4 linked regions of the Mus musculus genome follow. The protein of the gene in region 1 purifies or fractionates together with the protein of each later gene. This does not show direct contact. Links are inferred from orthologs where the notes say so. Each region holds a gene or a part of one and is shown in the gene's direction. Other genes may lie near its edges.

The links.
Region 2: the proteins of Aak1 (region 1) and Ralbp1 purify together in Homo sapiens (affinity purification with mass spectrometry; 3 studies listed by BioGRID and IntAct, counting the BioPlex papers as one, with this or other methods). This does not show direct contact. The link is inferred for Mus musculus from reciprocal best matches to the Homo sapiens genes AAK1 and RALBP1.
Region 3: the proteins of Aak1 (region 1) and Ap2b1 purify together in Homo sapiens (affinity purification with mass spectrometry; 4 studies listed by BioGRID and IntAct, with this or other methods). This does not show direct contact. The link is inferred for Mus musculus from reciprocal best matches to the Homo sapiens genes AAK1 and AP2B1.
Region 4: the proteins of Aak1 (region 1) and Reps1 purify together in Homo sapiens (affinity purification with mass spectrometry; 3 studies listed by BioGRID and IntAct, counting the BioPlex papers as one, with this or other methods). This does not show direct contact. The link is inferred for Mus musculus from reciprocal best matches to the Homo sapiens genes AAK1 and REPS1.

Annotation. Positions count from the first base shown.
Region 1 is NC_000072.6:86,847,896-86,852,915, forward strand, and holds the start of Aak1 (AP2 associated kinase 1), read left to right. Parts: upstream 1-1,609; 5' UTR 1,610-2,157; coding exon 2,158-2,320; intron 2,321-5,020.
Region 2 is NC_000083.6:65,853,289-65,857,728, reverse strand, and holds part of Ralbp1 (ralA-binding protein 1), read left to right. Parts: coding exon 1-67; intron 68-3,529; coding exon 3,530-3,637; intron 3,638-4,440. UniProt on the Homo sapiens protein: Multifunctional protein that functions as a downstream effector of RALA and RALB. As a GTPase-activating protein/GAP can inactivate CDC42 and RAC1 by stimulating their GTPase activity.
Region 3 is NC_000077.6:83,300,816-83,305,779, forward strand, and holds the start of Ap2b1 (AP-2 complex subunit beta), read left to right. Parts: upstream 1-1,881; 5' UTR 1,882-2,022; intron 2,023-4,964. UniProt on the Homo sapiens protein: Component of the adaptor protein complex 2 (AP-2). Adaptor protein complexes function in protein transport via transport vesicles in different membrane traffic pathways.
Region 4 is NC_000076.6:18,054,376-18,059,466, forward strand, and holds the start of Reps1 (ralBP1-associated Eps domain-containing protein 1), read left to right. Parts: upstream 1-1,564; 5' UTR 1,565-1,587; coding exon 1,588-1,740; intron 1,741-5,091. UniProt on the Homo sapiens protein: May coordinate the cellular actions of activated EGF receptors and Ral-GTPases.

The DNA of each region.
Region 1 (5,020 bases):
GAGTTAGGAAGATGTTCCGCAGGTGCTGAGTCTCACCCTTAAGGTGGCTGTAGGATTGTGTGAACTGAGGTGGCAATACTGGCTCTCTCCGGAAGTTAAGATGCTATCTCTCTCCGGAGAGTTATATGACTATGGTACCACATGAAATAAGAAACCGCAATAGCCACCGCCAGCACAGCCGGACTCAATATTCAGATTAACCAAGAGCCATCTTTTTTTGTTCTATTTTTCAAGACAGGGTTTCTCTGCATAGCCCTGGCTGCCCTGGAACTCATTCTGTAACCCAGGTTGTCCTCGAAATCAGAAATCTGCCTGCTTCTGCCTCCCAAGTGCTGGGATTAAAGACGTGAGCCACCACTGCCCAGCAAGACCCATCTTTTTTTATTTCCTGGGGGCCCCCTTCTAGATCTTCCTCAAGTGCCTGAAGTAGAAATTCTGGGATGAACTGCAAGAGGGTAGTTGCATCTTTAAGAAGTGTGGGGAGCTGGTGGAAAAATAACCTATACTCAAAAAAGAGAAAAAACCATGTATTTCTTGGGGGAGAGGGCAGGGGAGGCAGGGATTTGGCACGACAACAACATCTTCTGTGAAGCAATCTAGGAGGAGAGATCTCAATTCCTTTCCAAATCCTTAGCATTTGACAGGTGCCAATCACACAGCCCTGTACTCTATCCGCACCCAAGCGATCCTTAGTAAACACAGCATCTTCTTGCGAAAGATTCTGAAGAGAAAGCAGTAGGTGTGTCTAAAGTTCCCTTTAAAGGCGTGAATATATCTGGTAAGGACCAGGCAAATCTGGGTCGGCAGAGGGCCATGGTTTGGGGTGGAGCCCAAGGATGGATGTAGCCTGGTCCCTAGATGCTCCGTGTACTGGATCTCCCGCAGTTCCTTCTTCGACCCTCAGGCTTCTCAGTTCTCATCGTGGTCGGGGACCGGAAGACACCTGCTTTGTTTCCTTCAGCACCGAGATTCCGCTCGGCTCCCTGCTGGCATCATACCCACTTCTCCCCAGCCCCCAAGCCTTCAGTACCTCCGCTCCCATGACGTCGGGGAACTCCCAAACCCAACTGGGGCGAGGCAGCTAAACCGCGTCCTTCAGGTGTCAGTCCGGACTCCTGTGAAACCACAATTCCCAGAGTGCCTCTGTCCATGAGGCCAAGCCATAGATAAAATGGCTACAGAGAGTGGGACGTGCAGCTGGAAAACTAGTCTCTGGTGACTTTAGCAGATGTACTTAAATACCCGAAGCCTCACTTCTGCACCACTCCACTATCATCTCCAGTCCCTGGAGACGGCGTCCGAAGGTGCGCTCGCTCCCGGGGCATCTTGGGAATTGTAGTCCAGATGCCAGATTACCCCGAACTACTCTTCCCAGGGTGCTCAGCGGCAGGACTACGGCAACGCTCTCTTCCAAGTGTCTCTGTCCCGAGTTCCACTGCTCTGGTTCCCTTCTTGCCATCGGTTTCTTTCGCTCTGTAGCTATAGCTGGTGCACCTGAGACGGCCCCTGAGAAGGGGCTGTGCGGCCCTGAGAAGCACTTCCGGTGGCAGGTCACTTCCGGGTGGGTGGTCGGAGCCGACGGGCGCGCGCGCGGGGGAGGGGCGGCCTCAGCGCGGCGCTCGGGGATCAGCTGGCGGGCGGGCGGGCGCCGAAGCGGCCCCGGCTCTGCGGCAGCGCCGCCTCCTTCGTGTCGCAGGCCGGCGGCCGTGGCCATGTCGCGGGGCTGGTAGCTGGGCTCGCCGCCGAGCGGCCGCTAGTGGGTGTCCGGGGCCCGGGGCGGGGGTCCGGGCAGGGGTCCGGTGCGTTTCCAGGGCTTTCCCGAAGAAAATGCACGCAGCGTTTCCTCTGGATGACGGCCTGTGCTTTCCCTAGGACCCGGCAGTTAGGCTCTGGAGTGTGTTACTGATTCATCCTCTCTCTGCCTCTGTCATCGCAGGTTTAAACTTAAACGATCGCTCCCCGAGGAGGAGGGGACCCGCCGCGCGATTGACAGTCTATTCCTGCAGGCGCCGTCCCTCAGCCCCCACCCCACGGCCGGATTCCCGGGGCTCTGCTCAGGGCTGAAACCGGAGAAGAAATCCTTAGATCTCTTTTCTTTACAACAAATACGAACCTAGAAACCATCGGCATTTTGCCTTGGCATTTCATATTGGAAAGATGAAGAAGTTTTTCGACTCCAGGCGGGAGCAGGGGAGCTCTGGCCTGGGTTCAGGCTCCAGCGGAGGAGGGGGCAGCAGCTCAGGCCTGGGCAGTGGTTACATCGGAAGGGTCTTCGGCATCGGGAGGCAGCAGGTCACCGTGGACGAGGTGTTGGCGGAAGGTATGTTGGGAAGCCAGTGCGCGGTGAATTAATCTCGTGTGCTGATGTGGCAAGACTCTGGTTTCTAGTTGTATGAATGGGTTTTGACCAACTGACCCTCCCTTCCCCCTCTGCACTTTCCTTGCGAGTCATTGTCCTTGAGAGAATTAAAACTCAGACTGGGAATTGACAGGGCTTGGGGGGGCAGTATTGCCCAAATAGTTTACCTCAGTGGCCTTTCATTTGGGTGGGTGGGGGGAGCGCGTGGAGAAATCTCTTCCTTTGACCGAATTATTCGGATCCTATGTGTGAAGTATAAGTGAAATGCAGGGTGGTGGTCTTGCCATTTCCCTGAAACTTTAAATTCTGATGCGGAGGCTGAAGGGTGGGGATGGGGAGAGATCTTAAAGGAGAGGGGGGCTTCTCCCACCTAACTTTCCTATTTCTTTAAGTAGGTAGCCAAAGAGGATTTCTCTGGGGACAGGAATGCATTTTTTGGTGTTTTGGTTAGGTTTGTTTCTTTACCCAACTGCAGTGAGGTCCCCAGGATGTGGCTAAGATAAAATCATAAGCGAATGAGATGGTTTTGAACTCAGACGCCTAGGCCTCTTTTCTCCTTTTAGTTTCTATTAAGAATGACTTAGGATTGGCTCTGGTTTAGTGTTCTCTCAGTTGGAGAGGATGCTGTGTGGTTTCTCTCGGTGTGTGCTCGTTGGTCTATCTGTGCTCCTGCAGATACATATTTTTCTGCCCCAGGCTTTAGGGAAAATCTTGAGTGTTTCTTGGGTAACCTTAACCTCGACCTTCGTAATTATGCCAGACTGATACTTTTCACAGCTCATTGCCTGCTTACTGTGCTTTTATTTTTAATAAAAGCAGCAATTTCCTTGGCATGAAGCAATTTAAACTAATTGGATAGGACCAGTCTGCTGTAGGTTGCGTTACAGCCTGCCAAGGCTTGGGTCTGGGGGAGGCCTCAGTGAAGGCAGCATGGTGGTAGAGGCTAGTCTATCAGCGAGGGAAGGAGGAATGAGAGCTAAGCAGCCCCTTCGAAAAGGAGGCTTTTGCAAGCTGAGGTTGAAGGAAGGACCTCTACCTGGGCCTAGGAACTGCCTGTCATGGTGAGTCTTGTAGGGTGGTGGACGGGTGGGTGGGAAGAGGCCAAAGCTGTGTTAGACTTAGTTTGTGTAAGTACTGGATTTGGCAAGGCCCAGTTTCTGAGGATACATTGAAGCCTATACTTAAAAAGCACAATTTTGAAGAGATATCTGATAATTTCCTTGTAAATTACTGCTGCTTTTTTTATTTTTTATTTTCCATTCTTAGTATTGTTCCGACTGGACTTAATCTGGGCCTGAGTTACAATCCTTTCTGAACCTTTCCTTGAGGATTCTGGTGCAGGGTGGGAGATGCTGCTATGTCTGCTGCCAGATCTGTACCTTGGAATCTGAGCTGACTCTTATCCTGTAGCCAAAGTCCTTGACTACAGTGGGGGGTGGGGAGGGAGAGGGGGGTGAGAGAGAGAGAGAATGAGGAAGGAGATGAGATCAGGAGGATGGCCTCAGAGCCCAGGAACATTTTTTTCAGCTAGGATGTTTTCTCATCACGTGTTGCCCTAAGCTTTGCTTATTCTCTGAGTCTGGAAGAGTGGTGGGAAAGAGAAAACACAGAATCAGCCTTTGTTTTCTAGGCTTCCCTGGAATTCATCCTGAGAGCTGCACATTGTGCATTCTGATATTTTAAAAAGTAGAACTTTGGGCTTGGATCTGTTGATTCATTCGTTTATTCATTCAGCCAACAGTCACAGAGTGCTTGTGATGTGGCCAGTTCTGTGCTAGGCTCTGGGGACATGATGTTTAACTAGATGTTAGCATTTCAGAGCTGTTTGAAGAGATAGAAAATGGACAGTTAGTGATAGTGTCACCGTAAGAGTAACCTACGGATCAGTTGCTACAAATCTTGTCCTTAGGGCCCCTCAGTGTTAGGGAGCTAAGACACGTTTTGTGGAATGAGCGAGTGTGGTAACAGCACGGGCTGAGGCTGTGCATGAGTGTAGCATTTAAAATTTGGTCTGGCAAATTTTTTGGCTATGATTGAGCTTCAGTTGTGGCCTTTGAAGTACGTGACTATGTAGGAGTCAGTATTTATGTGGCACTACTGAGTTCAAAGACACTGCTAAGGTTTAAAAGGGGTGAGAGATAGAAACTCTAAAGTGTGATGCGTGCCTTTTAAAATTAGCCAGTGGGTTTCATTGAGGTGCTGAGATCATGCTTGTGTTGTGCAAGGTAGCCAGGTAGCTACATCTCCAGCCGTGATGTCTGCCTTTAGGGAACTGCTAGTCAGTGTAGGAAGAAAATAAATTCATTTGTACATATAGTAGTGTGCTTATGGCCACAGATCCTATAGTCGGACAGATTTAGGGTCAATTTTTGGATTTGTTTTTGTTGTTAAACCTTTTTACATCGTGTGTGTATGTTTTCTCTAAGATAGCTCACCATTTCCTGGACCTGTTTTAAAAAGCATCTATTATATTATTACTACTATTGTTGTGCATGTATGCTGCACACAAGAATGTGTGTGCATGTGTCACAGAGTGCAGAAGTCAGAAGGCAGCAGTGTGATGTTAGCTTGCCTCTTCTACCTTTACATGTGTTTTGGGGTCTAGAATCAGATTGTCAGACTTTTGTGACAAGTGCCTTTTCTTGGTGAACCGTTTTGTTG
Region 2 (4,440 bases), on another chromosome or scaffold:
AAGATTATGGGAAGTACAGAGGATTCTGACTGCCCTCAAGAGAAAGCTGAGGGAAGCTAAAAGACAAGTGAGTTATTCTCTTACATCTTGTGTCTAATAAACCTACAGGAAGTGTGGATGAGCCTTCTGTACACTGCTGTAAGATATTCTTTTAAAAGTAGAACATACCTGTCTGTTGATGCTAAATTCTCTGGTGGGAAATTTATTCACACAAATGTTTCCTGCTTTGTGTTATTCATACTTTAGTGTGGTATAAATCAAATATTTCATTAAGTTTAGAAAGACTTTTTGTTTTTTAATTACAAAGGTGATCTTGTTATTTCCTGCCTGGTTTGTGTCTGTGGACAGAGCTGTAAGAGTGAGAGACACTGCTGAGAAGTTTGAGTTTTGAATGGAAATGCAGGGCTGGAAGGCCCAGGACGGATTCTGCTTTGCAGTCACTGGAGGGAAGAACCGTGTGGCCCTGCTGCTTTGTTGGGAGTGCACAAGGCCCACTTGTGGTTTTGTGCTACTTTAGTGTGTGAAGCTGAGTCTGGATTCAGTTTCCCAGTCACATCAAAGCTAAAATCCACACCTCTGAAAGGTCGTACAAGCCACATGCAGACCCAGCAGCAGATTGAGTAGCACAGCCTGCGGACACTAGTTAACACCTCTGGGACCTGGAGAGTGGAGCTGTGGGTCATTGTGAGAAGACAACACCTCAGGCCTTTTGCTTCAAGGATACGGCACTTGTTGAGAGCACAAGCCTGAGATCCTTGTAGCTGCACACAGTTTTCAATCTGGGAGGGAACCTTTCCTTTTGTTTTTCTCTCCAGCTCACTAAACTGTCAATCTTTTGTTTCCTCTGTCTCATGGACTCTTTTTGTTGTTGTTGTTGTTTGTTTGTTTTAATAAGATCTCATGTGGGCCAGTAGTCTCAAGTTTGTTCTATAGCCAAGGTGACCTTGAACTCTGGATCCTGCTGCCTCTGTCTCCCACATGCTGGATTATAGGCATGGGCCACCATGCTTGGCTTTGGATGTGTGCCTAAGTTTCCCAGGGCAGATTGCAGTTGTTGATCTAATTGCGTTGTCCAGCAGCCCTTATGTGAAGAGTCCGGGACATAGATGGATGTTTGGCTTTTGTGTCTCTTCGTTATGTGTGTCTGTGTTGAATAAAAGGACTCTAGCTGTGGAAACGGCTTAGTTGCTTAGTGCTTGCTTTTGCAAAGATAAGTACCAGAATTCAGTCCATAGCACTCGCGTGTTATGGCTTATACCTGTAATCTCAGCACTGGGAAGGCAGACAGGAGGTCCCTGAGCTTGAAGGCCAGATAGTCTAGAGGTCAAGGTTAAGTGAGAGACCTTGACTCAAAAAAAAAAAAAAAGTTTGAGAATGGATTAAGAATGACACCCAACAAAGACTTCTACACACGTGCACACAAATGTGCATACAAGTACATGACTATACTTGTTTGTGAGCACACACATACATATATCAGAGGCAGTGTGGTTGTATGACAAGGGACAGCTATCTTCTCTTTTTCCTCTTACCAATTGTATTCTCTCCCTGACCATTCCCTCTCCTTGATGACTTATTTTGTAACTACATGCTCAGGTTCCTTCATGCTGGCTTCTCTTTTGAGGGAGAAATTACTTAAAGAAGTATCATTCAGTGGATTAGTGACTGAAAATAAGAAAAATATAGCACCAGTTTAACCCTGATATCATCTTGGCACTTTCCCAAAAATTAACCATGTAATTATCAATCGTATAGTGCAGAAATTTCACTCAGCCATTATCCTCTAAGAGAAGCAGCCACAACCCATAAGCCTTCACAGAACATTTGCAGACTGTTCATAACAGCTAAAGCAGCAGCCCCAGAGCCCTGCAGCTGGTGAGAGGGTATAAAGTTAGGATGCATTCATTCCAGCCTCCCCATCTTCCCTCTGCCCTCACTACCTGTATCTCACTGGTGCGTGTTCACCCTCTGGGTGGTTCACACTCATTCACACACACACACACACACACATACACACCTCAGGAACAAACAGTTCCAGAGTCCTCCTTAACTCTTGCCCTGGGTCTCTGGAGGTTTCTGCCCCACGTTGGGCACCATCTGACCAAGCCAGCTCAGTCAGTCAACAAGTTCTCCAGGGCAAGAGCAAGGAGTAAAAAGAAAAAAGACAATTAGACAACATTGCAGCATGACCCCAACCAGCTCTGAGACTGAGGTGGGTTTATTTTTTACCAATCTGCTTTTATACCATTTTAATTACATGCAAGTAATTAGGTCAGTTCTAGGTTAAGGAAAAAGCAAGACAATAAACACAAATAGGCGAGGAACAAGCAAGGCAATAAACAAAGCCCCGGGATCGAAGTTTCTAGGCCTTATCAGGATGACCAAGATATCTGAGCCTACTTCCCTGTCCTAGTCCAAAGTCACATTCTTGCTTAAGCCTACTTCTTTGTTCTAGCCTAAAATCAGATTCCTGCCTGGACTTCCTTTCCTGTCCTAGCCCAAAAGTAGATTCCTACCTGAGCCTGCTTCCTTGTCCTGACCCAAAATTAGATTCCTGCCTGAAACCTACCTCCCTGTCCTGACCCCAATGTCAGATTTCTGCCAAGCAGCTCCAAAAGCTCTCCACAGTTCACACACTGGTTGTCACTGAGCAACTACTCACACCAGCATAACAGACAGAAGCATCTTAAAGCCAAGTATAAAGCTAGAGAGAAATGACCTGTTGAGCCAGTTCATCTGAGACCCGAGAGAGAAGCTGTTAGGATTGAGAGCAGGTCTGTGGTGCTGGGCACCAACAGATGGAGCAAGGGCAATGTTTCCTAACAGGGTGGTGGTGGTTACTTGACTATGTGTATTTGGTAAAATTAGTTACATTATGAAATTGACACCCAGTAGCTCCCTTCAAGACATCTCATGCAGTCAGGATTAAGGGAGCATATTCATCAGAAATAAGCATTTTTCATAGTGTAGCCACAGACCGAGATAACCATGTCATGGTCTTTTCTTACTTTAAAATGTTTATTCTTTGTGTGTGCGTGTGCATGTGGGTATGGACATGCAGTGGCACGAGTGTGGAAGTCAGAGAACAACTTGCCAGAGTCAGTTCTCTGCATTGTGTGAGTCCTAGGGAAGGCTTCTTGATACCAAGTGTCTGCCACGGGGCCACCTTGCAGTCTCGAACCACATCATAGTCTTTTATGGTTTGATTTGGTTTTTTCTTTTTGAGATGGGGTCTTTCTGTTGTCCTGGGTGTCCTGGAATTTACTATGGCCTTGAACTTCAAGCTAGCCTTGAACTCACATAGCTCCTCCTACCTCTGCCTCCTGAGTGCTGGGATTAAAGGCGGGTACCACCATCCCTGCTCTTACCTACAGTATATTCTAAGCCTAGTTAGCAAATGTCCGGTCATCATTACAGACAGTTCCCTACTGCTGCTGGGGTTTTCTTCATTTCTGTAATTTAAGAGGACCATTTGTTGATTGTGTGTTACATGTAGGCCGAACAGTTCATCATGTGTTGTCTTTGACAGGAGTGTGAAACCAAGATTGCACAGGAGATAGCTAGTCTTTCAAAAGAGGATGTTTCCAAAGAAGAAATGAATGAAAACGAAGAAGTTATAAATATCCTTCTTGCCCAGGCAAGCTATACCTTTTGATTTCTAAAGGGATTTATTGGTCATTTTTCAAATAGAAGCACAACTATAGACTTTTTAAAACCAAAATTGTAATGAACTCCAAAGAAGTTGTTCCTGTTCTGTGGCCCTACCCTTGTGCTGTGTGTGCTGAAATGTTAAGTGTGGAGGGAGAAAGAAGCTGCCTTCTGTTTAGCTTCCTCGTTTCTGTAAGTCGACATAGAAGTATTGTGGCATGTTCCTGATTTACAAGAACAGAAACAAAAACTCTGAGGAGAGAGAAGCCCCAGATGATTTTCTTAGAGTTTCCCACCTCAGCTTTCTTGGAGTATAACTTCATCCATATATGCTCTGAGGTAAACGACGAGGGTCTGTGTTTGAGCATGGAGAAGTGGCCTCTCTCACTCGGGAACTTTTCAGTGGTTCCTGGACTGTGCCCACAGTGCCCACGGTGCCCACGGTGCCCCTTGTTTGGAAGGAGTTGCTGGTGCTCTTGCCTCCAAGGCATCTTCTCTCTACTGTTTGCTCTAGACCCGAGAGCCCTAGCTGGAGTGCAGGCAGGGCGCTCTCCACATCACTGCTCTCAAGCAGTTTAGGAATGGTTAACCTGTCAAGAGTTCTTACTTTGATCTGAAGGGCGTGGCTGGGGACAGTGAGGGAGATCCTGTAACCTTTCCTTCTGTCTGTTCTGCCCCACACCTGACACTGGTACCAGCCACACATGCATCTCTTGGGTCCTGTTCCTAGTGATGCTGAAAAGTCACTGTGACCCTGAATCCTGAGAGACAGGAAGCCAAAGCTGATGAGTT
Region 3 (4,964 bases), on another chromosome or scaffold:
CCACGGTCAGATTCTTCTGACAGAAGGTGCTGGCATATATATGTAACCCCAGCGCCTGAGGCAGTGGGCTACCTGGCAGTGAGGAAAGGGGGAAAGAGGTGAAAGGGGGAGGAAGGGGGAAAACACCCATTTGAGCAATCTTGGTTTAAAGTTGATCAATCATGGTTAGCCAGAGGGTCAAGATTTCCTGATTAATGGACCCACAAGACTACTCTATAAAAAGGAAACTGTATTCCATGAGAAAAGGAAAAAGTTAAAAATAGTATGTCCTGGTTGGTTATATAACTCAGTGGTAGGACGTGTGTGAAGCCCTAGGATCCTTTCCCAGTTCTGGAAAGAAAAATAGTGTCAGTTTTTATTTCAATTTGGTAATGTGCCAGTTTTTAGTTACCAAATAATGCATTAAAAACCCCAGTCTCAAATGTGTAGTCTAATAGAAGGCACATGATTAACCTTTCTATTAGAAGGCATTAAAGGCTAAGCCTGACCATCAGGTTTGGAGATCTTAAGTATATATTAAATGTAAGTTACATAGGAAATTATTTAATAGATGCTCAGTAAATAAATGTAATTGGGTTAAGTCATCTGTTTTGTTTTTCAAAGACAGTTTTCTGTGTAGCCCGGGCTGTCCAGGAATTCACATTGTAGACCAGGCTGGCCTTGAACTCACAAAGATCAACTTACCTCTGCCTCTTGATTGCTGAGGTTAAAGGCTTGTGCCACCACACCCAGTTGCCTTGAGTTTTTTGTTTTTAATATATAAAGATTTATTTTTTTTTTTTAATGTACACAAGTACACTGTAGCTGCCTTCAGACACCAGAAGAGGGCATCAGATCCCATTACAGATGGTTGTGACCCATCATGGGATTGCCTGGGAATTGAACTCAAGACCTCTGGAAGAGCAGCCAGTGCTCTTAAACACTGAGTCATCTCTCCAGTCCTACCATGAGTTTTTTAAGTTTCAAATCTGGCGGCTGGAGAGATGGTTCAGTGGTTAAGATCACTAGCTGCTCTTTCAAAGGACCTGGATTTTGTTACCAGCTCCCGCATAGCAGCTCACAGCTGTCTGAAATTCCAGTTCCAGGGGAACACTCTCTCACATACATACATGCAGGCAAAACACCAATGCACATTAAAAAACAAAATGAAAAAAAAAAGATTGTTCAATAGTAGAGTGAGGGGTGCCTGGTTAGAAGCACCACTAAGCCTTGGAGTCTAGGTATATAGATAGAGAAGTTCAAAGTGCTCTAGAGGCAGAAAGAAGCAAGAGGGCTTAGTTTTAGGCTTGTCTGAGTTACACAGCCCGACGTTGGTCTTTCTTTTCTTTTGAAGCTGGACATGGTAACTAAACGCCTGTACCAGTTTATAGTTTCCTAATGAAACCTGTATCCACAACCTGTTTTAGGTACCTTATACCACTCAAGCCTAAGGGCGGGGCAGGAAGGGGGCGCTAATAAGTTTCTCCAGTCTTGTTCAATGTAGGGATTCAAACTCAGATCTGAATGCTTCTTAGCCATCTTTGAGTCGCCGTCTCCTAGTTCATCCGTCCGTCTGTAGTCCTGGTTTCTATCACCTCTATGGGCTTCTTAACCTTACAAGCAAATTAGCTGAGGTTTGTGTTTGAGCAAATAGGATATCTCACACAGGTTTCACAAAAATCTTGTTCACGGGAATAAATCCCGAAAATACCCACTTATTGAAGATATCCGGTGGGAAAGCAACTGCGGGTCTCCTGAGTGTATAGGCAACTGCCCTATCCCTGAGACAGGGAAACCTTTCCGTTGCTGAGGCGACAGACACGACCTGGCCGTTTGGTTCTCCCGCGCACCCAGATGACGTCAGGCGGCGAGATTCTCTTACGCCAAAGCTTCCGGCTCACCATCTTTGTCCCTGGCAAATTGGGTTTTGCGCAGTGGCTTAGATCTAGAGAGAATCGTGACGGGCAGGAAACCATTACACCACCACCCCGGCTGTGCTCTCCGACTGCCGCCGCCGCCGCCGCCACCCCGCCCTTGCCTCCGGTGAGTTCAAGGCGGCTGGCTTTGGGGTGTGCCCTGACTGACTCGCGGTGCTTGTGAGGGAGGGGAGCCCCAAGCCGGGTCATAGGCTCAGGAGGAAAGGAGAGCCGAGGAGCGTGACGGTTGAGGGTGGAAGGAGTCCTCGGGTGTGACCGTTGTGAGGGAAAAGCTGGGAGAAAGTGCCTCCATCGTAGTGACCGTGGTGGCCTGGGGCTGCGCTCCGGTGTAGCAGCGGGAGTTGGGGGCTTCGGAGCGAAGCAAGGTTCCGAAGACCGGCTTGGGGAAGGCTCAGGCCAGGGGTGTGGCCGCTGGAGGCCGAGGGAGAACCACCCAGCTCTCCCGTTTGACATCTGTTCATTGAGAAAGAAGCTCCGACGTGTCTCCACGACTAGGGAGAAGGGATTCCCGCGACCGTTTGGTCACTGAAACCTCTCTTGTCGCACGTATTTGGGGTTAAGAGGCATCTCTCCTTACCTAGTGAAAATTGGACAGATTTCTTGACCTGGGGAAGTGGATAAAGAGAATGGGGACTAACTGTACTTCGAGGAAGGAAGGAGAAACCTGCATAATTGAGGCCACCCCCACCCTCTGTGTAAGAGGGGAAAATAAATCTTAGCATGGAATTTTGTTTTTCTTTTTTTTTTCCCCCCTCCCTATATTCCCTGGGGTTATCAGGAGCAGTCTAGTTTGGGCAAGGCTGTAAATTCTACTAGAAGTGAAAAAAAAAAAACAAAACAAAACCCTGGAATTTCCTGCTATTTCTTTATTCTTTGAATTCACAGGATGTATTAGCTTTTTGAGCAGCCCTCTTTTTAGGAGAAGGCTCTTATTAAACTCAAGCAATTTAGTTATGAAGCAGTGTGAATGTGTCATGGATGCTTCGCTGAATTTTTTTACTTTTAGAAGGGAGATTTTTTTTTCTTTTATTTTAGTGGCCAAACTTTTTTTTTTTTTTTGCAACCTTTGTGGTTTAAAAGACAAAGAACACACTGTAAGCTCAGTAAGGCTAGTGACTAAGAAGGAAGGTGGTCTCTTAGAGAGGAACAATTTAAATTATTAACTGCTCTCCTGTGCAGTTCACTGCTTAGCCTTAGGGTGCACTTACAAGGTAATAATAGAAAGCGGCAGGTGAAGTAGGTGCAGCCATCGGTAACACATTCCAGTGATGACTAAGTGAGGCGGGCGGGCATGTAAACTGAGAACTGAGTAGGTGCCTTGCAGGGTAGACTCCCTGAGAAAGAGAGGGGAGTGTGCGCTGCAAACAGCTCAGTCAAGTTGTGTGGTAAATTAAAACAGAGTAAATATCCTGATGAATTAAGATCAGAGAGGTCCCTCGCATCCTTTTCTTCTGGAAAAGATTTTGCTTTCGTCTCAAGGCACACATTTGAACCATGTTAGACAAGGGGCATTCAGAAGGAGGATAGCATCCCCATTTTTCTTCTTTCCTCCTGGGCTTAAGTTTTCCAAAATGTCCTGGCATTTCATAACAGTTGGGTGTAAGACTGTTGGGCTTCTTTCTTTCCGTATAATCCTATATTAATAAATTAACTTGTAGTTATTTAAATAGAAGCCAGAGGTGGATTTAGCTTTTAACGTTTTATTTCTGACAAGCTAAATTAATCTGAGGCTGCTGCTGTCCTTATGTTATGAACATCTGGCCAGCAATGGTCTTTATACCACTCATCCTTGTAAGCAGAGGTGACTGGAATGACTTTCTGCTTTAGAATTTACTGAACTCTGGCTAGTATTGACTTCATGTGCAAAGGAGGGCACAGTGGTCTTGCTAGTGCTAACGCTGGCTGCCATTTTCCAGAGAACCATTTGAAATTAAGACCTTATAATTTTTTTTTTCTGACTGTATTCTACCCAGCCTATTAATCTTGTTTCACTGCTGAGCTGCTCTTTTGGGGAATTGGAGGAAGGGAAGGCTGGAAGGAGAGAAAGGACTTCGACAACCTATATTTATCAGAAACTAGGTTATGTTAATCTAGATATATAACCTTGTACAGGGAGGCCTGGGAAAGGCAGTGGAGCAATGCTGTGGACTAGGACAAGTCCAAGGATCCTTGCCTTGCCCTGTGGCTGCTCTGTCCTTTAACAATGTCCCCAGGCCACACGATAAGTCAGTCAGTGACCTTTCAGGTTTCATGTCGTATAAGATTGTGTACGTTCAAATTCCATTGTGGCTTGTTTATTTCTAGGGATTTCCTGAAAAACAAAAATTTGCCCCAGTAAGATTGAGTTTTGAAGCACTAGGCAAGTTGAAATTGTGTTTTTCCCGTTCTCTTGTGGCTTGTGTGTGTGTGTCTTATGTGTGTGTGTCTTCTACTATAGGCATCAGTGTCTATCCGGCAAGTGTGGGGGGCTTGGATTAAAAAATAGTTATATGTCATTGTGAGTTGAAAGTCACGGGGACATTAAAGTTCTGTCATTACCACCTCTTCTCCTTTTAATTAAATACTTAAAATTCATGCAAGTATATAATGTGTTTCGATCCAGGCCATCCCTGCCCCCATCCTTCCTTTCTACTGTTGCTTTTGTTTAGACTATTTTCATTTTTCCTTGTCCCTCCCACCCCCTTAAAGCAAGGATAGACTGGATACCTTTTTTCTTTGCCTGTATGATGGTGATTATTTCATCACAATTATTGGCTATGGTGTCAGTTAAATGAGTGATATATTTACCTGCTTTTTTTTTTTCCTTCCTCTCCCCCTTTTGATGATGGAGATGTCTTATACCTGCTAGGTAAGCACTTTAGCATTGAGCTATATCCCTGGTCCAAAATGCCACTGAAGATTGAGCACAGGATTTTTCCTATATTAAGCAAGCCCTCTACTACTGGCCCTTTATTTATTTATTTTATTTTTATATGGGTATTTTGACTGCACGTAAGTCTGTATACCACTTGTGTATTCAGTGACTTCAGAGGCCAGAAGAGGGCAGAT
Region 4 (5,091 bases), on another chromosome or scaffold:
AAGAGCTTCACAGACGTTCATTTAGATTTAGCCTCCAAAGGAGGCATTTGGTGCCAGAGTTCTTCTTTCTGTTTTCTGGGCTGTTTGAGATAGGGTCTAGGTTGGCCTTCTGTGTTCTGTGAGGCTGAACATGACCTTGAACTTCTGATCCTCCTGTCCTCTACCTCCCAAATGGCTGGGATTACAGGTAAGCACCACCACACTTGATCTATGCAGTGCTGGGAATAGAACCCAGGGCGTTGTGCACACAGTGCTCTAACAAATGAGCTATATCCCCAGCCCTCTATGTCTGCTCATTCTTATAATGATGTCCCCTTAATGGGCTCTATGTAACAGAGAATAAAAACCAAACTTGAAAAGCCCTCTGTGTAATCTTCCTTGGCTCCCGTTTCTGAAATACTTCATATTTAATGCTGACAAGGTCGCGGGCTGACTGGTGATGGTATCCCTTCACTAGGAAAGAAAAGGCAGGGGATCAAGAGTTCAAGTCCAGCCTGACTTCATAGAGTTTCAGGAAAGAAATACTTTTAAAAGATTAAAGGCTCGTTAAGGGTCTATGAACTCCAGAGACAGATGCAGATTAAGACTCCCCCCCCCCCACCCCCCAGAGGAAGGAAGGGATGGTGAGCAACAAGAGGGCCTGGAGTTGGCTGAAGGCCTACACAGGTTTCCCGAGTGGATGGCATAAACCGACAGTATTTGGTTCTCGGTGAAAAAAAAAAAAAAAAAAGGTGACTTTTTTTTTCTTTATTTCTATTTTTTCAAACTTGGTTTTACAGAAGACCCGGCTTGGGACCAGATCGAGTTCAGCCTTGGTTTAAGCGTCCACACCTGAGCAAGCTTCCCTGCTTCAGTGGACGGCGCAAAGCGATGCACTTATCCTCGTTAAGTGCAAACCGTTAGGAAATGCTGCACGCCAGAAGCTGCCGCACCCCAGCCCGCAGTGCGACCTGAACCCTCCGCGTCGCTGGGACGCCGGTCGGTCCCCAAGTGCCCCCAGCCTGGGGTCCTCGCGGAGGGCGCCCAGGGCCACTCGCCGCGCCCCGCCGTGCCGCGGGGCTCCGGCCAGCAGGGGGCGCTGCGGCCCGCTCTCCCGGGAGCGGCCGAGCCAGCCCGGTGGGTGTTTCTCTCTCTCTCTCTCCCTCTCCCTCTCCCTCTCGCGCTCTCTCCTCCCGGCCTCACATCCGGGTCTGGAGCGCGGCCGCCGCTGTCAGTGCCGGGCCGGGGCGCAGTCAATGGCGGCCGAGGGAGGCGGAGCGGCGGCCACGCGCAGCCCCGAGCCCCCGAAACTTTAGACTTCGGAAGCCCCACAACTTCTCGGAGGGGGGCGCGTGGGCGGAAGGGGAAGCCGAGGCGGGAAGCCCGAGGGACGCGGCCGAGCCCGGAGCCGCCGCCTCCTTTTCCCCACGCCGAGCTTGCGGCCGCGCACAGCCGCGCGCCACCGCCGCCGGCTGCCCCGGGCCACACGAGCTCGCGGCCCCGCGGGGAGGCCGTGCCGTGCGCAGTACCCCGCCGGCCGCCCCGGGTCGCGGGGCCGGCGCCCGGGTGGTGCATGCGGGGCGGGGCGGCCGCCGGGCCGAGGCGAAGATGGAAGGCTTGACGCTGAGCGACGCCGAGCAGAAATACTACTCGGATCTCTTCTCCTACTGCGACATCGAGAGCACCAAGAAGGTGGTGGTCAACGGGCGAGTGCTCGAGCTGTTCCGGGCCGCGCAGCTGCCCAACGACGTGGTCCTCCAGGTACCGCCGCGTCCCCGGCCGCGCGGGCCCCGGGCAGCGGCAGCGGGAGTGGGCTCCCCCGGGGACGGGCAGAGGCCGCAGGTGCGGGAGCGGGGTGCGCGGGGACCCCTGGAGGGGGAGGGCTCGCCGTCCGGGTGGGGGCGGGGGTCTGCGGAGCCTGCATCCCTCCGGCAGCCTGTGCACTGGAAGAGCAAGGTCCCGGGTCTCTCGGGTTGTGTGTGCATCCTAGCGTCTGCTGGATATGCCTACTATAGTCACATAGCTCTTCGACTCCCGCACAATAGGAAAGTTACGACTATAGGCAGGCAAAATGCCATATGGATTTTTGAGCGAGCCGAGCAGACTCGATGAAGTGAGATTTGTTACGCTTAAGGTATCCAAGAAGCAGGTGGTTTGGGTTTTTTTTTTAGGGGGGGGGTTGTTTTGTTTTGTTTTAAATTTAAGGAAGCTGTGTTCTTAGGGGAGACTAAGAAATTTGAACTTCTGGCTGATACTTGGCATGTAGATAGATGTGAAAAGAACTTGGTCGTAGAATGGGTGGCCGGTGGACAGTATCTTCTAGTGCCCTTCCCGGGAATAGTCAGTGGAGCTTGTGGGTTTGGTTTGGGATTTATTGAACAGCTGGAATCAGACAGCGGATAGTCTCCTCAGTCTGTAACTCTGCCACTCGTAACTCTGTAGCAGCAAGGGTAAACCTTCTTTGTCGCCTGTTTTAGAAGTGCTAATATTTGTGATGAGCATTAATGCTACTGCTTAATGATTCATAGCTGCTATAGTAAGAGCCTGTTTAAACTGTATGGGAGGAAGGAACCGTCTTAAGTTTTCATCCTCATATTGATCCCAAGCCAGTTATCCAAATCTCCAAACACATGGAGATGGAAGTGGATATAATGCAGTGGAAGCAGAATATTGGGCCAGAGGTTTGATTTTACTTTGTTTTGAGACAGCTTATTGCTTTATATCCCAGACTAGCCCTGAACTCAGGGTCCTGTTGCCCCCTCAACTGCTCAGGTGCTGGGACGTGGGTGTGGGCTGGGCCAGGAGTCTCCAGGCTTTTAGAAATCTCATCACTCTGCCTCCTCAGCCTCCAGTTCTCTGAGGCCCATCTTAGAGTGAAAGTCAGTTTTCTTCTAACAGAAACCCTTGTGATATAAAAATTTCTACACACACCTCGAATATAGACAATACCCGAGTGCCTACTGTGGTTTAGGGAGTGAATTCTTTCTCACTTTGCTTTTGTTTCATTTTGTCATTTTTTCTTAACCCTGGGGTGTGGTGGGGAAAGGTGAGTGTTTTAGGTACCAGGGAAGGATAAGAAAGTCTCAGATCTGTGCTGCTGAAGAGGACAACATAGTGACAATTTTAGGCTTTCCCAACAATTCAGATTCTGTGTGGATTCACTGTTTTTGTTTTTATGGCCCTCTTACGATGAGGAAACCAGGTTTAGCTTGGGTTCACACAAAACATCCCATAGTTTGCTGATGGGTTAAATGATATGGGGCTAGTGTCTAATGGATTTGGTACAAAACTTACAGGTTCTGGACAAGAAGCCCCCCATATTCTATTTTAGCTCATGTCTTTGGGGTTCAGAGTTAACTGGAAATGACTTTGTCATTCTAATGGTACACAAGACTTTTTTAGGGTGTTTACATGTTTAGGGCATAGAAATTAGTGTCCATTAACCTCCAGCTGAGATATGTTCAATTGAATCCAACTTATTTTCATATTTTACTCAATTGTATTGGCATTTGAAAATAAATTTCTATTATCTTTGTACATAGGTAGCTTAAGTCGTTTAAATATTTGGGATTCAATTACACGTTGGAAATTGTAGGATCCCTGAAGCAAGACTTCCACAGTAACATGATCAGGTTGACGATCCCTGACCAGGATATCTGCAGTACTCCTAACCTGAAAACTTTGAGGGCCAAAATATCACAAGTGGAAAATTCCATATTATGAAACTTTCTTGTTCAGAATTATCATTCTTTTAAATTGACTCTCAAACTGTGGGACTACTGTGCATATGAGATGTAAAGAGATCTCTTCAAACTTGGATCCTACCCCCAAGATATCTCATTGTGTGTACACAAACCTTCAGTTTCAAGCATTGCTGATAAAGAATAGCCAACCTGTACTGAATAGCAATCTGGAGTCTTGAAGGCAGCTTACTTAAAATTTGGCCTAAGACATAGAAATGTGAGACTGAAGGGGAATGTGGATTTAGTTTCTCTTATGAGAGTTTGAGATTTTCTGAAAACAGCATTCCATGGCTCTCAGGGAGAAGCATTGGGGGTAATTCAAACATATCCCAGTTTTGTTCTCTTTGTTGAGCTAGATGTTGGAGGTTCAACAGAAGCACAAGGTGCTCTGAGGGCTTTGTAAATTACAGGACCATTCAGGTGTAAAGAAAAGTGGACCTGGGAGAGGCACGTTGTGTTCACAAGCACAAAGGAGATAAAGACACAGTTCAGATGGACTTCTGCGTTGAGATGGGGAGGGGAGATCTGCTTCCAGGCCGAGGAAAAATATGACCAAAGTCATCCGAGCCTTTTCAAGGACTAGTAGATAGTAAGATTTTACCTAAGCTAAAATATGTTTGGAGCTAATGAAACAGTTAGGAAGAGGCCCTATTACTAAAGACTGGGGGCAGGAGACTTCATACATTCAGTAGGCAGCAGTGGAGAAGCTTGGGAAGGTTTTGGCTTTGAATGTAGTGAGCATAGAGGATGGGGAAGGAGGCTCTTCCAGAGGTCTGGCATGGCTGCTGGGTAATGCACACCCAAACCAGAGGGACAGCCCTCGAATGGAAAATAAGGGTGGGTGTCCTTCTGAAGAGCAGCTGGGTTCGTACTGCTTTACTGTGTGAAGTGCCTTGTGGGACAGTACTTAATGGAGTCCAGATGATCAAGACTGGACCGGGAGCTCAGAACTAACTGTGAAGGGTATTTGAAAGAAATGATTCATAAAAGCAGTACCTGAGGAGGCTTTTGTCAGTGATAGAGCAGAGGTTGGTTATCTTGGGGCTGATTTTGTATCAAAGATAGGAATGGTGAGGACCTGGGCCAGTAACACACGAAGCACGGGGTCATGGAGCCGGTGACAGGGTTCCGTGGGTAAAGGTATCTGCTGCCAAGCCTAATGGCCGGTTTGATCCCCAGGACCCACGTGATGGAAGGGGAAAACTGACTCCCTTAAGTTGTCTTCTGACCTCCAACAAGTTATGACATATGCCTTACAAATGCCCATACATTACTTTTTAAATAATAAAATATTTAAGAACATCAAGAAACAGGGTGAAAGAGGACAATATATGGGGGAGTGATTTTTATACTCTCAGACCATTTGTCA